Cricetulus griseus: one gene and its partners. The protein of the gene in region 1 purifies or fractionates together with the protein of each later gene. This does not show direct contact. Links are inferred from orthologs where the notes say so. Each region holds a gene or a part of one and is shown on either strand. Other genes may lie near its edges. The genes, in order: melanoma-associated antigen 10, Foxj2, Fam216a and Qser1.

Region 1 (2,740 bases):
CTTAATGAAAGTTTGGAGCATTGGAGCCCGTTGACTGTATTTTAAGTTAGAATTTAATTAGTTAACCAGAATAAGAGACTAACAACCAAAAGGTGATAAAAATAACAGTTTTATTCTATTCTGTAAGTTATTTTCCATAGCCTAAGAAATACCAATTGCACTACTATGGTGTTTTGTGACAGATTACAGATTAGATGGAAAGTATCCCAACTTGTTTTACAAAATAACAACACTTTTTAAACATGGATAAACAGCAGTAAGTGCATGACTAATACAACCTGGAAGTTTAAATTTTCAGCCTAACGAGCTTTCTAGCAAACGTAGCAACATTTTAAAGTACCAAGAGGAAAAATCCCTGAGTCACCCAACAGAACAGTAAAAGTGGGATAATTTAACTATACAACCACCAGCTCTAGAATGAGGGTCCACTGCTTAGATCACTGACTTGACCTGACCTTATCTGAGTTGTAAACTGCTAGAGCACTAGAATATGTGCTGGTCAGGGCAGTCATATCATGTGCCAGGCTTTGCTTGCCTAGGCTCGCTCTTCCTCATCTCTTAAAGCCTCTGCATACCACACTGGATATGATCTGGGGTCACTTCCATTGATGTTGGTCAGAAATGTCAGGATTTTCATCTTAGTGGTTTCAGCATAGGCTCGTGGGCCCCAGAGAAACTCATAGGAAGGAGGATGGCTGCCAGATACTTGCCTATACTCCAGGTATCCTTCTTGTACAAAATCATCAGTGATGAGCTTCCTGGGTTCCCCATATATGAAGTGTTCATTCCCAGCATACAAGCCTATGTTATTCAACACACCCCACACCATGTCCTCACTGATACAGTTGCCTTCCATAAATATTATGCTCAGGACCATTATCAGGAGGCCTGTCTTGGGTATGCCCTGGACATCAGTCATCATCCCATCATAGGTGAGCTCTAGGGATGTAACAAGGATATAAGTGTGGCCAGCAGGCTGTACTTCCTTCATGTCAATGCCAAAGACTAACTGCATGCACTCTGAGGCTTCTCTAAATATCAAGGGGAAGTGGTCCTGATAATTTCTAATGATATTACTGAGCATTTCTGCCTTGGTGACTGGCTCCTTCATTAGATACTTAAAGAGCAGATACTTTACCAACTCATCTACTTTTACATCTATCTCACCTTTAGACAATGAAGCAGCACAAGGCATGACCTCTGAGGAACCTGAACCCTCCTCAGGTTCAGAGGCTGCACTGAATTGGCTACATGGAGAGGAGATCATGGCAGTGCAGGAGGAGCATGCTCCTGGAGGACTATGAGAAGGACTTGATGTCCTGGAAGCAACAAACCCTTCCTCTGAGGTGCTGGATGTTAGAGCATAGGAAGAAGAGGAAGAAGAGAAAGACGAGGGGAAAGAGGAGGAGCAAGTAGAAGAGGATGAGGAATCTACTTCCTCTATTGAAACTGGAGCACTCATTAGGTCCTGTGGCTCACTTTGGGCCTCAAGCTCGCCCTCAGCCATACATCGCCTACGCTTGCAAGGTCTAGGCATGATGACTCTAGTCTTGAACACAAGGCAGATGCACAATGATGTAGACCCAGAGACCTAGGGGAAGAAGAAGAAAGTGGAAGTTGTTGCCAGTCACCCAACTGGAAGTGCTCACAAAAGCCAGTAACAGGCTTTCTCTTGTGTGATGCTCTAAAATCACAAGGATTCCCATCTCCCTGTCAAATCTGTCTCTTGAGAGACTGAGGGGGATAGCGACAAGTTTCCTCAGAATGCAACTGGGCCAGAGTAGAGGCTTCAGATTTGCCAGAAGCTTGTATGGGGCTAAGCAGACTGAGACTGCTGTGTTTGTGGTACATATTCACAGTGTGTGCCTCAGCTTTGCCCCAGACCCTGCCTGGGCCTTCCCCAGTGTCTGATCCCAGAAAACCATCTCAAACCAAGACCCTCATATCCCAGTTTCTATGAGAGAGGATGAGGTGCCACACAGCCATAGACTGCAAAGCCCGTACTGGATCCCCATTCCTGACAGGAGCCTGAACTGAACTGTAAAGAGCTACCCCGCTCTTAAGTGTATGGTTCTCTCTGTGCTCACTCTGGATTCTCCCTTGTCTCCTGTCAGGGACTGGAACCCACCCATCTGCTGGTCTGAGGCAAACCCCTAGGCCCTTTTCATCTGTTGACCAGGTGTAAACTCCTGGACCCCACTAATCTGCTGGCCTGAGGCAAACTCCTGGACCCTTCTCATCTGCTAGCCTGAGGCAAACTCCTGGACTCCACCCATCTGCTGGCCTGAGGCAAACCCCTGGGCCTTCTCATCTGTTGACCAGGTGTAAACTCCTGGACCCCACTAATCTGCTGGCCTGAGGCAAACTCCTGGACCCTTCTCACCTGCCAGCCTGAGGCAAACTCCTGGGTCCCACCCATCTGATGGCCTGAGGCAAATCCGTGGGCCCTTCTCTTCTGTGGCAAGGTGTAAACTCCTGGACCCCACCCATCTGCTGGCCTGAGGCAAACTCCTGGACCCTTCTCATCTGTTAGGCTGGGGAAAACTCCTGGACTCCACCCACCCTTCTGTTGGTCTAGGGCAAACTCCTGGACCCCACCCATCTGCTAGTCTGAGGCAAACTCCTGGGACAACTGCTCACCTCTCTGAAATAGAACAGAAGACAGTGAAGGTGCCTTCAACTGATAACAACTATTTAGGGGTGATGGCATAAGGTGTCCAACTTAAATGTGGTCCATGGT
Region 2 (4,313 bases), on another chromosome or scaffold:
GCCATCCAGAAGTTGCACTCCAGTATTGGTGGCGCACGCCTTTAATCCCAGCACTCGGGAGGCAGAGACAGGCAGATCTCTGTGAGTTTGAGGCCAGCCTGGTCTCCAGAGCGAGTGCCAGGATAGGCTCCAAAGCCACAGTGAAACCCTGTCTCAAAAAATCCAAAAAGAAAAAAAGAAAAGAAAAAGAAACACTGCTACGCCAGAGACATCTCTTTTTCAAAAGTGGGAGAGGCAATTCTAGACACAAAAGTAAAGTGGCACTGGAGGTATCCATGATGAAGCTCTCCTACCAGTCCCGAGAGAAACAGACCCAACCTGTGAAAGGGCTGTCCTGCTGCCAGATATGATTGCCAGGAGGGGGCCATGAGAATTCCCACTGGCGGTGGAGGGGACCACTAAGCTTTCCTGGCAGCTGGTCATCTGCACCCTCACGTCTTCTAGGTCCTTGCAGAGGGTGACCTGCTTCTACATGCCTGCCAGAAATGACTCTAAGGGATCAGAGAGCACACTCTGGAAACATCTCCATGTACATGCTCAAAACACAGACACCTAACAATCTCCATCTCCATTGAGAGCCGTGTACATCATTCTACAGCACAGCCATCGGACCTGTGGACTACAACTCCGTTTTTTGACACACCACCACTACAGAAACCTCCAGGATCCAATGGACCAACAGAGACTCCGGCAGTCTGCCCACGGCCCATCTAGGGAGGCAGACACTGAAAATCCAAGGGGAGGAAGCCCCATACAGAACACGAGGCATGGTCCAACGACCAGACCAGAGAGAAGGCGTGCAGGTAGTGACCACGTGTGAAAACTCAGAGCTCCGCTACAGATACAGCCTAGGCTCAACCAGGAAAATTTCTTGGTGCCTTTTGTCCTGCTTTTTCTAAAGATTCTAGATTTTTGATGATTCCCCAAGATTAGGATGAAAATTTTCACCACGAAGTTCCTGTGACCCAGAACTAAGCAAGAGAACAGGAAGAGTGATGAAGAGACCAGTCGATGTTTTCCTGGAAGGAAAGTCTAAAAAGAATTCTGCAGAGGTCAGACCTCCCTGGTGGTCAACTCATGCAGATGAGGTGTGGAGGGAACCTAGGAAACACTCTGCCTCCTAGCCACAATCTGATTTTTCTGAGGAACTGTCAGCTAATGACACAACCAGTATCTGGGAAGACTTCCGCCCACCAGTGTGCACTACCCTAGTCACCTCAGGGCATGTGGATTCCCGTTTCCCTTTGGATGGCAGAAATCCAGCCTGAAGCAGGGATGTCAGAAGGGCCTCCTGGTATCCAAGATAGAGAGAGTGGGTGGGGACAGATTGACAGTCAGGCAAATAGTCACTGTGCTAGACTGGAAGGAAGACCTCTGCTGGCCATTACACTGACTTAGGCATGCTCTGCTGACTTAGAGCATGCCCTAGACAAGACACAAGGTGCCCCCATCACTTTCCAGCAGGTCCACTCACCAGAGGACAAGACCCAGGGATGGAGTGTGCTGTGGGATTCTGGCTGTGCTGTGTCCTGCATTACTAACAGTAACCATGGCGTCCAGAAAAAACGCACCTGTTGTCTGTTCTCAGTACAGAGCATCCACTTCTCTTAGGGACAGCAAATGACCCATCCCTTTGGTCTCCGAAATCTAAAAAGCCCGTTTCTCTGAGTCTCTGCAACAACATGCGGCTTCCAATGCAAAAGCGCCATCTGAACACATTTCCCAGGGGACGCTACCTTCCACAGGAATGAACCCCAAGATCCACCATTTCAGCTCCCCGTACCTACTGGTGCCTAAAGACCACAGAGAGAAAATGCACGAAAGCACTAACCTGCCTCTAAGGTTCCCCCAGCCACAGGAGGAAACCACCTGCTACAGAAGTTTGAGGTTGCAGGGATTCCCCTCTTCACAGGCAGGTGACAGGTCTCATCCTCTGTGACTCTTGCAGTGCCTGGCGGAGCCTCCCTAGCCGGAGCGGGGAACTGAGTCCCCCGAGGAAGAGGAGCCGAAGGAGGAGGAGGGGGAGAGGGAGGACCTACCTGGGGAAGGTGGCACACCCCCCACACCCTGCCTGCTACCCTAGGGATGAGGGGAGGAGCCTCTCCCAGCCAGGAGTTGTCTCCTCCCCTTTGGGGGAACCCCCCTCCCCCCAAACTGGATCTTCCAGGGGTTGAGGGCTCTTTCTGTCTGCTGGAGATCTGAGCGGAGGGGCTCTGCCCGGGTCCACTGTTGAGGCGCACGGAAGTTGAGGGACGAGGTCTTCCACTCTCCAGCAAGCTGGAGCCGATTGCCGCGGGTTCCCTGGAGGGTCCGGGCTTGTGCGTGTCAGGACGCCTCTCGGCGGTGAGTGCTGGGTGCCTACTCCACAGACATGGCTCCCTTTTCTCTTTGCCTCCAAAGTCCCGAACTGTCTGGAGTGCGCTGAGGAGTGGGGGCGGTCTCACTCCGGGTCCTCCAGGTCCCACGACCCTTCCCGACTTCTGGGGGTCTCCTCCGGAGCCGGCGTGGGAGGGACAGCGCGCGCCCTGCGGCGATCTCCTCTGGCCGTCCCGGGAATGCCGAGAGTCCTCCCTCCCACGGGAGAGGGAGCAGGTCCCGGCGCCCGGTGCCCCGAGGGTGGGGTCCACGCACTCCCGCTCCCGCCCGGCCGGCCTGGGCAGCAGGGTCCCGGAGGCCGCGGTCCCGGCTCCCGTCACCCGCTGCCGGGCGGCAGCGCCTCCCCCGTCGCGTCCCTCGTCCGCCGCGCTTCCCCGAGCGTGGGGCTCCCCGCGCTGCCACCACCGAGGCTCTGGCCGGTCGGGGTTCCCGGGAGCCGGCAGGCGGACGGAGCGCGTCGGGGCTCGGCTCGGGCTCGGCTCGGCTCCGCTGCAGGCCCCGGCTCCTCCCCGGCCTCGGCGCCGCGCTCCGCGCCCCTCCCCCTCCCGCCGCCGCGGCCACCGCCTCCCGGCGCGGGTTAAGGAGGAGCGCGGATCCCCGCAGCCCGCCGGTCGCCGGCCCTCGGCTCCCGGGCACTAGCGGTGCCAGTGTCCACGCTAATGGCCACGCAGATCTCTCATTGTGCTGCGGTCTCCTCCTAGACGAGCATTGCCAGTTTTCTCAGAAACGTATTTGATGGCTTCTCTCTTTCTCCTCCAGACAGCTTATAAAGGGTTATGGAGACTGCCGTGAAGTTAAAGTTTACTCTTATCTTGGAGGTCAGTGACTGCTTCTTGGATCAGAAGATGCATAAAAGGAGAGATGAGCTTGTCATAGAGAAATAAACGTCGGAGATGGTGTCTTGTGGTAGTTCTGGCTCCATAAATTTGTGCAAGGCCCTTGTTTCTGGAGTCACAGTCATCCAAGAGGGGAATTGGATACTCTGGCCTGCCTACTAATATGGATGTCGCAGTCACCAAAGGAAACGACTTGTGTGGAGACGCTCTTTAACGCCGTACAGTATGCAAGGGGTGCGGAAGTATGATTATTAATTTCCCTTTCCCTTGACATGCCTTTTAAAATATCGTTTTTGACCTTTGTGCTAAAATCAAGTGACATCTCTATAGAACACCTTATTGTGAGTGCCACTAGAGGGATGGAATGCTCTCAGCACATCCCTCTACTCCGGTACAGATTAATCTCCATCCCCTGGCAGGAAATACCACCAGGGCAGCCCATCTCCACTTCTACCCCCAGTCAACGCCTTTCAAGTACAAACCCTCTGAGTTACTCTTCTCCAACTGTGTTCTCACATAAAATGATAAAGGCAAAAAATTATTCATTTGATACTCGAATTGCTCAAAAAGATTACAGTTTGATAACTACCTTTAGATAGTAATGTCATGGCTAAATGGCTAAATACATGCTACCGTAGTTAAGTTCTATGTACATACAATTACATTACACATGCAATGTGTAGGCATTAACCTTTGCACTCTCCATGTGTTGTCACGCTTGATTCTTCTAGCAATTCCATACAGCACTGTTATTGCACCTTCTAGAATATAAGTATGGCTTGAAGATGTTGTCTGTGTCCCAGTTCACATAATTCACACCATGACATAATTAGTAGTACTATTTTAAGACAGGTGTCAAATCCAAATGGCCTCAGAATCCCTAGTATATCATTGGCTTGAACTGTGAAAGCATAAGCCAATCTCAAATTGCCAGGAGTGAAGTCCAACGAAGCTGTTTCCCTCCCCACGCTTCCAATGTCCAGTTTAAAGATGCAGTTCCTCAAGCATGGGCCACTCCCTGTGATCACAGGGGAGGCTCTGGAATTCAAGGCCAACTAGACTACCTTATGAGACCCTGTCTTTAAAAAGGAAAGAGGAGGC
Region 3 (4,017 bases), on another chromosome or scaffold:
GTGCTGGGATGGAACCCAAGGCTCAAACTTCTGAGGAACAGTGAAGAACAAGACCCTATTCTGGGTGTGTGACAGAGGGCCTGTACCGAAATGAGTCAAAAACGGACTCAAATTCTGGCCAGAACCGTATGACTTTGAAAAGTTATCCTTTCTGTAGAATGAGTATAGGTTTAAGCTAGGGAGTGGTTATGAAAACACTTGGGACGGCCAGAGCAGTTCCTGGAGCAAAAGTATCCTATTAATATTATTATTTTCAGGCCGGGCGGTTGTGGCGAACGCCTTTAATACCAGCAGAGGCAGAGGCAGGTGGATCTCTGTGAGTTCGAGGCCAGACTGGTCTACAGAATGAGTTCCAGGACACGTTCCAAAGATACACAGAGAAACCCTGTCTCGAAAAAGCTAAGAAAACAAAGTGTGTTGTGTGGGTTCCTGCACGTGAATGCACTGTTCGTGGAGGCCTGGGGCTGGAGTTACAGCTCTGTGTGTGTGCTGGGACCCGAACTCCAGTTCCCTGGAAGAGCACAAGATCTTAAGCGCTCAGCCACCTCTCCTGTCCCCCCAGTAATTAGTAAAGCTGCCTTTACTCCTCCAACAAAAACAAGGAACAAGCAGAGAGCGGAAGCGAATTACCCAGGGCTCCCGGGAGCCCCGACGCCCACGAACCGCAGCTCCTCGAGCCTCACCTTCCCGCTGCCCGCGGGGCCCATAACTAGCTGCGCATACCGAGGCATACCGGCTCTCCGCCTTCCCCCGGCCGCCGGCGCTCACACTCCCTTCAGCCTTCGCGCGAGCTCCCCTGAGCTCCGGGGACAAGGGTACCAGCCAATCGCGACCCAGATCACTGTTTCGTCCCTGGTATTTACGCCTACGACTACGGAGCGTCCCAAGAGCCAAAATTTCTGAGAAATGTGACCTGACGGAAAAGAGGAGGTGGAGACGCGGCTTCACGCGTGCGCAGAGAGAGCTGCGGGCCGTTGTCAGTTGGCCCACAGGCGAGGCTGGTTGCCTAGGTGACAACGAATCGCAGTAACGCTCAGCTCCTTCAGGCCGGTGCCCTGGTTCTTGGGTTTGACTCCTAGGGTGACATCCTAAGACTTGCAGATCCACCGAGGGTCTGGAATACTGAGGTGGGAGACACCTTTTGCTTTAAGGGAGAGCACGCGCACGCGTGTGCATGTGTATGTGAGTGTGAGTGTGTGTGCGTGCGTGAGTGTATGTGTGTGCGTGTGTGTGTGTGAGTGTGTGTATGTGTGTGTGTGTGTATGTGTGGCCTTGCCCTGACACGTCCCTGTCACGGAGATTTGCCAAGGCGTAAAAGCCTGGTCACCTGAGGCCTCCTCCTCCTCCTCCTCGTCCTCCTCCCCCCCGGGTCTAGCACCAGGGTCTCGGGTCGCCTTCGGCACCGTCCCGAAGCCGCTCGGGCAGGGTCGGAGGGTAGAGCCGGAGGCCGCGGCGGCCTCACAGCGGGCGTGGCGCGCGCGTGCCGACGGGATGCCGAGCCGTTGTCCCGGGGTCGCAGAGCTGCCTGCATTGGTCAGGACCGAAGGCTGCGACGGGTGAGGCCCGGGAAGCCCCGCTGAGGAGTCGAGAGAGAGAGAGAGGGAGAGAGAGAGAGAGAGAGAGAGAGAGAGAGAGAGAGAGAGAGAGAGAGAGAGAGAGAGAGAGAGAGAGAGACAGAGACAGAGACAGAGAGAGAGAGAGAGAGAGAGAGAGACAGAGAGAGAGACAGAGAGAGAGAGAGAGAGAGAGAGAGAGAGAGAGAGAGAGAGAGAGAGACAGAGAGGAGGGGGCGGGTGAGGCCGCGAGGTCAAGGGCTGACGAGGCGGCCTCGGAGCAGGACAGCAGCACTGTCACCTGCTCTCGCTCTCAGCGCCCCCGGAGAGGGTCCTGCGAACCCAGTAGGGAGCCGAGGACCCAGCCCCCACTCCCACCCCCAACCCCTAGTCCCACAACCCCCGCCACTAAGCCAGTCCCTGCGACATTGGCCGCCTCTTTATCGGATGGGGCTATGGGCCAGGAAGGCCTTGATCATGACTTGCTTGACGGGTAGGTTTCTTGAGACACACTCCCATAGCTCAGGCTGGCCTTGAACTACCCGTCCTCCTGTTCCACTTCGGAGTGCTGAGATAGATGTCTGGTGTGGACTATTACTCCTGACTAGGCGGGTTTTAACTATTTCCTGGATGGTGAGGACAGTAGACTTGTAATGTCACGGCTAGAGGCCATGCCCCTGTCGCACCCCTTGCTTCCTTAAAACCAAGAGGAGCAGAATTATTGCGGGGGGGGGGGACCCAGTTAGGTCCACAACCATGGCTCTTGCTAAATCCACGGCCATGAAATACATACTTATTTATGTTTATTATTATAATGTGTGTATATATATACATATATATGTACATTTTATTGTACTATAGTGCTAAGACTTCTTTAAGATGTGATGCCAGGTTCTTTCTTGTTCTTGACGATGCTTGGAGGTGTTCTGGTTCAATGAACTCAGTTACTGAGAAACTGCAGGAAGCAGTTAACTTTTTGAGAAAAGGAAAAAGAACTGATACAAGATGGGAAACATAACTGGTTAAACTTAACAGTTCCAGCACAAAATAATTACTCTTTTCAGTACTGAAATGATTAAAGAACAAGAAAGATATCCTGTGGATAGTACAGGAACCAAACTACTCATTTGGTATCGCTGTAACAATTAGACTAGGAAGCTATGAAAATGAGGCCAACTTTGACTAAATCATTTCTAGCAAAGTACAAATGGGACTGGCGATATGTATGGCTCAGTAGTAGAGTACTCGCCTAACTTCTGTGAGTCCTGGGTTCTGTCCCCTTGAAACACACTCACTCTTATCTTAGTATGATAAAAGTCTGACAGCTCACTGAGAGAAAGCTTAGCTGCATCCTTCTTGTAGCCAAATGGGAGAAAAGTTGCAAGACACTGATGACAACAGGACAAGTAAAGGGCATGTAAGCTGTCTGTCATTGTACATCCTATCTTCGATGTTCTTTTCTAACAGGTCAGCTGGACATTTTTATCACCAGAATTCCAAAGGCACTGGTGGACAGCATAAAGCAGGTAATGCATGTAGATGACAGACGTCACTAATTACACATGAAGTTGTAACAGTAGGCTCAAAGGGCTAGCAAGATGGACCACCTGTGTTCAGTTCCCCCAGAACCCACAGGGTAGCAGTGAACTGATTCTTCTGAGCTGTTCTCTGACTTTCATCACCCTTGCTCTTTCTCTCCCTGCCTCACACATACACAAATGTAAAACAGACTTCACTAGATTGAACATGGGGCTCTGTACACGCTAGACAGCTACTGAGCTGTAGCTCTAAAAAATTATTTAATATCCCCAGTAAATTTGAAACTCTTTTTAAGAGTTTCAAAGACCAGTTCTTTCTCTTTTGTTAATCTATAATTAGCATTGGTTGGAAATTGGGCATACCTGTCATGTACTCATGGACTGAAGGGGAAATCCTACACGAACAGCTTCAAAAACTATAGACTACTTTACAGGGAGCACTTTCGTTTGCTTTTTATTTCTCCAGACAGGGTTTCTCTGTGGCTTTGGAAGCTGTCCTTGGAACTAGCTCTTGTAGACCAGGCTGGTCTCAAACTCACAGAGATCCTCCTGCCTCTGCCTCCTGAGTACTGGAAGTAAAGGTGTGCGCCACCACCACCTGGCCACAGGGAGCACTTTCAAAATACCTCTTTTCAGATGATAAGAGAAAAACATCAGCATCCAAAGACCTCCTACTAATATAAGGAAGGGGAAAGGGTGGGGTACAGATGTTTACAAAGTGGAGTCACAAATAGGCTGGTAAATGGTAGTTTATTGGGGAAAAGTACTCACGCAAGGGAACCAGTGACCAGGTTTGCACCTGAGCAGGATGGACCCAGAAATGCTTACCAGTCAGCCCAGCCAGGTGTGGTCAGTAGTATCTCTAATCAGGATTTCTCCCTACAATTCCCCTTTTAGTCTAAAGAGGATTTAAACTTAACAATGTA
Region 4 (3,566 bases), on another chromosome or scaffold:
GAGGCAGAGGCAGGCAGATCTCTGAGTCTTATGCCAGCTTGGTCTACAGAGTGAGTTCCAGAACAGCCAGGGCTACACAAAGAAAACATGTCTTGAATAAACAAAAAAAACCAAACCAAAACACAAACAGAAAAACATGTTATGTCATTTTAAATAAATAAAAGGAATTACCTCATTCTTACATATTAGATAAACATGGTATTTATAATGATGGAGTGAATGGTATAATGAATATAATTGTATTTTCTCTGGATCAACAGCAAATTCCTAAAAAAGAAAGAAATTTACAGGTAACATTCATGTAATGTTAGAGCTAAAAAATATTAGATCCATAGTGAATTACAACCTGGAAAATGTCTTATATGGCTAGGTATGATGCTGTATTAATATACATGGGAGCTTAAATATAAATTATATTTAAAATCATCATGATAAATCTTTTATTAAGTTATGAGTACCTGTTACTTGAAAAACTAGCATTATAGAGAAATCAAAATAAAAAGCATGTAAGATAACAAAAGAATAAAAGCCTTTTTGTTGTTGTTGTTTTGTTTTGAGGCAGGATCTTACTCTGCAGCTCTGGCTGGCCTGAGACTCAGATCCACCTGCCTCTCCCTCCCTAGTGCACCTCATTCTTAAAACTGAGCCCATGTGGCTGAGTCTGGCCTTGAACCCCTCATCCTCTTGCCATCTGCTTCCCAAGTACTGCATGTAATTGTAACCAGGAACTAGCATTCCAGATGCAGACTAACAGATTCTAATATGGCTTCAGAGATAAATGTGGCTGGTGGCATGTTACATAGTCTTTCATGCTCTTCCCCTAGGCTAGGCTTGAATATTTAAGTAACATTAATTTTCTCTTTATTTCTTCCTTTCTTTCAAAACAGGAACATTAATTTTCTGACAAGGAATCACCCAATAAAAGTTGACCTACAACATCCACTCCACGAAAGTTCCAACATATATTTTTTTAATCAGCATACAACTTGGATAACTTTGGATTTATTATATGTATATCATTCCATCTTTATCCCCCTAATAAAAAATATAGGAACATATGGATTTTTGGCTAGCTTTTACTATGGTACCCCTAGTTATTTATTACTTTAGATTATGTATATAGGTGTGGCTAAGCCACCTCTCTGCAGTCCCCTACTACTTAGAATTGCTTTTGTCAGTATAAATATACAAAGTGTTTTGCTGTAGTTGTCTGGTAGACAATCAATGGGTCTTCTTTTAAACCAAGCATCATGCATATTATTTTAATCCTAGCACTCCAGAAGCAGGTGCATCTATGAGTTTAAAGCCAGCCTGGTTTATACAGCAAGTAAAAAAACAAAAAACCACCCCCAAACCAACAAACATACCAGTTTTGTTTTGTTTTGAAGACAGGGTCCTGGCTGTCTTAGAACTCACAGCATTTCCATTGCCTCTCTCTGGGATTAAAGGTGTATGACACTGCAAACTGGTTCTTGTAAACTACTTTGCAATAACTATATATAGTGTGTGTGTGTGTGTGTGTGTGTGTGTGTGTGTGTGTGTGTGTTTTAACTTTGTGTCTGTCACGCATATTCTTCTTTCTGTCTGGTAAGAAAGAGGAATTAAATTGTGTAAGTTTCTTTCCCACAGAGGAATGCTACAACTGCTACTGTAAGAACAGTTGCAGACCAGTAGCTGTGGAAACTCTTTGTGTTCATGAATGTATTTCTACAGAAAATACCCTTTTTCTTTGAGATAGGGTCTCATATAACCCAGGTTGTCCTCAAACTTCTGATCCTTCTGCCTCCCACCTGCCAAGTGCTAGGAATCAGGTATGCACCATCAGGTCTGAATTACTGAATACATTTTTTGATGTGAAACTGTTATAATGCAGAACTATTTTCTGAAAAGTGTGTAGTATATTGTAGACATAAACAGATGTCATTTTAGTGACTTTACAGATATATCAATATTCAATCTTATGATTTAGTGTTTACACACACTAAAACATGTGTTTCTAAACCATGTACAGGTAACTTTGAACAGGTACAAAATGATGAATTTTCTCGTTTTACCACAATATGCTCCAAAACATGTCACACAGAACACCTCCCCCACCCCCAGACAGGTTTTCTCTGTGTAATAGTCCTGGAACTCACTTTGTTGCCCCTGCCTGGCTCTGCCTCCTGAGTGCTGGGATTAAAGGCGTTCACCACCACCCCTGGCGACACATAAATATTTTTAATGAATTAAAAAGTTTTAAAACTATATGCAAATGTATAAACTTAAACATCGGATGATTCCCTTATTAGTTTATTTTATATATTCAGTGTGCACTCACTATTACCAGGTACAGTTCAATGCATACATAGAAGAAATAACAAGAATGTCCCATCCTCAGAGCACAGCTGCTTATTCCACCCCAAAGATGACACTTCACGATTACAATAGGCTTATTTCAATGGTGTCTTGGGAGCTGTGTTAACTGGAAAAGGTTTACATTCATTAAGCAATATGTACTTACCTGTGCAGACTTAGTGGTTGTTTTAGAAGTCCTTAGAGTTTTCTTATTATAAGTTTTGCCATTCATTTTTATTTTAGAAATAGCAGATCCTCCACTTTTTGCTTTAGAGTCTCGAGTAATAATTGTTAGTTCAGGAAAACTTTCCAAAGCATTCTTTAAAATAATGAAGGATAACAACTGACATCAGAAAACTGGAATTTCCAGCCATTCAAAATTTATATACACACAAATATGCACGCACGCATGCACGCATGCAGATGGTCACAATGGGATGTAGTTAGAAATCTTTGAACCTTCTCCCACAGAGTGCGGGTTATGTTTCCCATTCTTTGAATCTGGCCTGATTTATTGAGCATTCCACACGGAAGGAATCCTAAGTTATTACTAGAAATGTCCCTTTGATTTCAAAATAGGGAAAATAGGGATATATGCATTTCTTAAAATACCTCTCCCACCCTTACTAATACCCTGAACCAGAGGTAAACCAGCTACAGGGAGGTCATCAGACTCTAAATGAAGATGGGGACAAAAGATAGTAAGAAGAATTGTTGTTTTCTGCAGCACTCCTTTGGCTTCCTTGGACTGCACAGAAAAAAAAAAAAAAAAAAAAAAAAAAAAAAAAAAAAAAAAAAAAAAAAAAAAAAAAAAAAATCCTGAAGCAGAGTTTGATGGTTCTGACCAAAAAAAGGAGCTGCTACTGATGACACAGTAGCCACATGGCAGATGCATTCCCAGTCTAGTCTTCAAAACCCACTGACTTTTATGCCCTTACCTGCTTAGAAAGGCATTGTGAACTGAGAAGCTGCACACAATAGCACAATGATTCCTGAAGACAACTATAATGACTCTGATTACAGCTTTTTAAAATTAGATTTAGTTAGCAGCAGCAAGAATTATTATGCATTAAGGGTTAAAAGTGCTGCTGTTACACTTATGGGTCAGAATGTAATTTAACTTTCACTGTTCTCAGTTTCTATAAACAGGTATTGTGAACCTGAAAAGAGTATATTTAAAGAACAAACAAAATCTTTTCTTAGGTCTAAATGTAACAGGGAGCTGTCAT

The links.
Region 2: the proteins of melanoma-associated antigen 10 (region 1) and Foxj2 purify together in Homo sapiens (affinity purification with mass spectrometry; 3 studies listed by BioGRID and IntAct, counting the BioPlex papers as one, with this or other methods). This does not show direct contact. The link is inferred for Cricetulus griseus from reciprocal best matches to the Homo sapiens genes MAGEA10 and FOXJ2.
Region 3: the proteins of melanoma-associated antigen 10 (region 1) and Fam216a purify together in Homo sapiens (affinity purification with mass spectrometry; 3 studies listed by BioGRID and IntAct, counting the BioPlex papers as one, with this or other methods). This does not show direct contact. The link is inferred for Cricetulus griseus from reciprocal best matches to the Homo sapiens genes MAGEA10 and FAM216A.
Region 4: the proteins of melanoma-associated antigen 10 (region 1) and Qser1 purify together in Homo sapiens (affinity purification with mass spectrometry; 3 studies listed by BioGRID and IntAct, counting the BioPlex papers as one, with this or other methods). This does not show direct contact. The link is inferred for Cricetulus griseus from reciprocal best matches to the Homo sapiens genes MAGEA10 and QSER1.

What each region holds. Positions count from the first base shown.
Region 1 is NC_048604.1:3,529,578-3,532,317, forward strand, and holds melanoma-associated antigen 10, read right to left. Parts: upstream 1,538-2,740; coding exon 536-1,537; downstream 1-535. UniProt on the Homo sapiens protein: Not known, though may play a role in embryonal development and tumor transformation or aspects of tumor progression.
Region 2 is NC_048601.1:22,239,736-22,244,048, reverse strand, and holds the start of Foxj2 (forkhead box protein J2), read right to left. Parts: upstream 2,846-4,313; 5' UTR 1,832-2,845; intron 1,673-1,831; 5' UTR 1,572-1,672; intron 1,292-1,571; 5' UTR 1,217-1,291; intron 1-1,216.
Region 3 is NC_048597.1:102,210,166-102,214,182, reverse strand, and holds the start of Fam216a (protein FAM216A), read left to right. Parts: upstream 1-1,214; 5' UTR 1,215-1,491; coding exon 1,492-1,556; intron 1,557-1,923; exon of another isoform or gene 1,924-2,008; coding exon of another isoform or gene 2,009-2,046; intron 2,047-3,020; coding exon 3,021-3,079; intron 3,080-4,017. Other genes in the region: Gpn3 (GPN-loop GTPase 3), read right to left, coding at 684-731.
Region 4 is NC_048599.1:72,904,956-72,908,521, reverse strand, and holds part of Qser1 (glutamine and serine-rich protein 1), read right to left. Parts: intron 2,657-3,566; coding exon 2,504-2,656; intron 1,683-2,503; exon of another isoform or gene 1,554-1,682; intron 268-1,553; coding exon 172-267; intron 1-171. UniProt on the Homo sapiens protein: Plays an essential role in the protection and maintenance of transcriptional and developmental programs.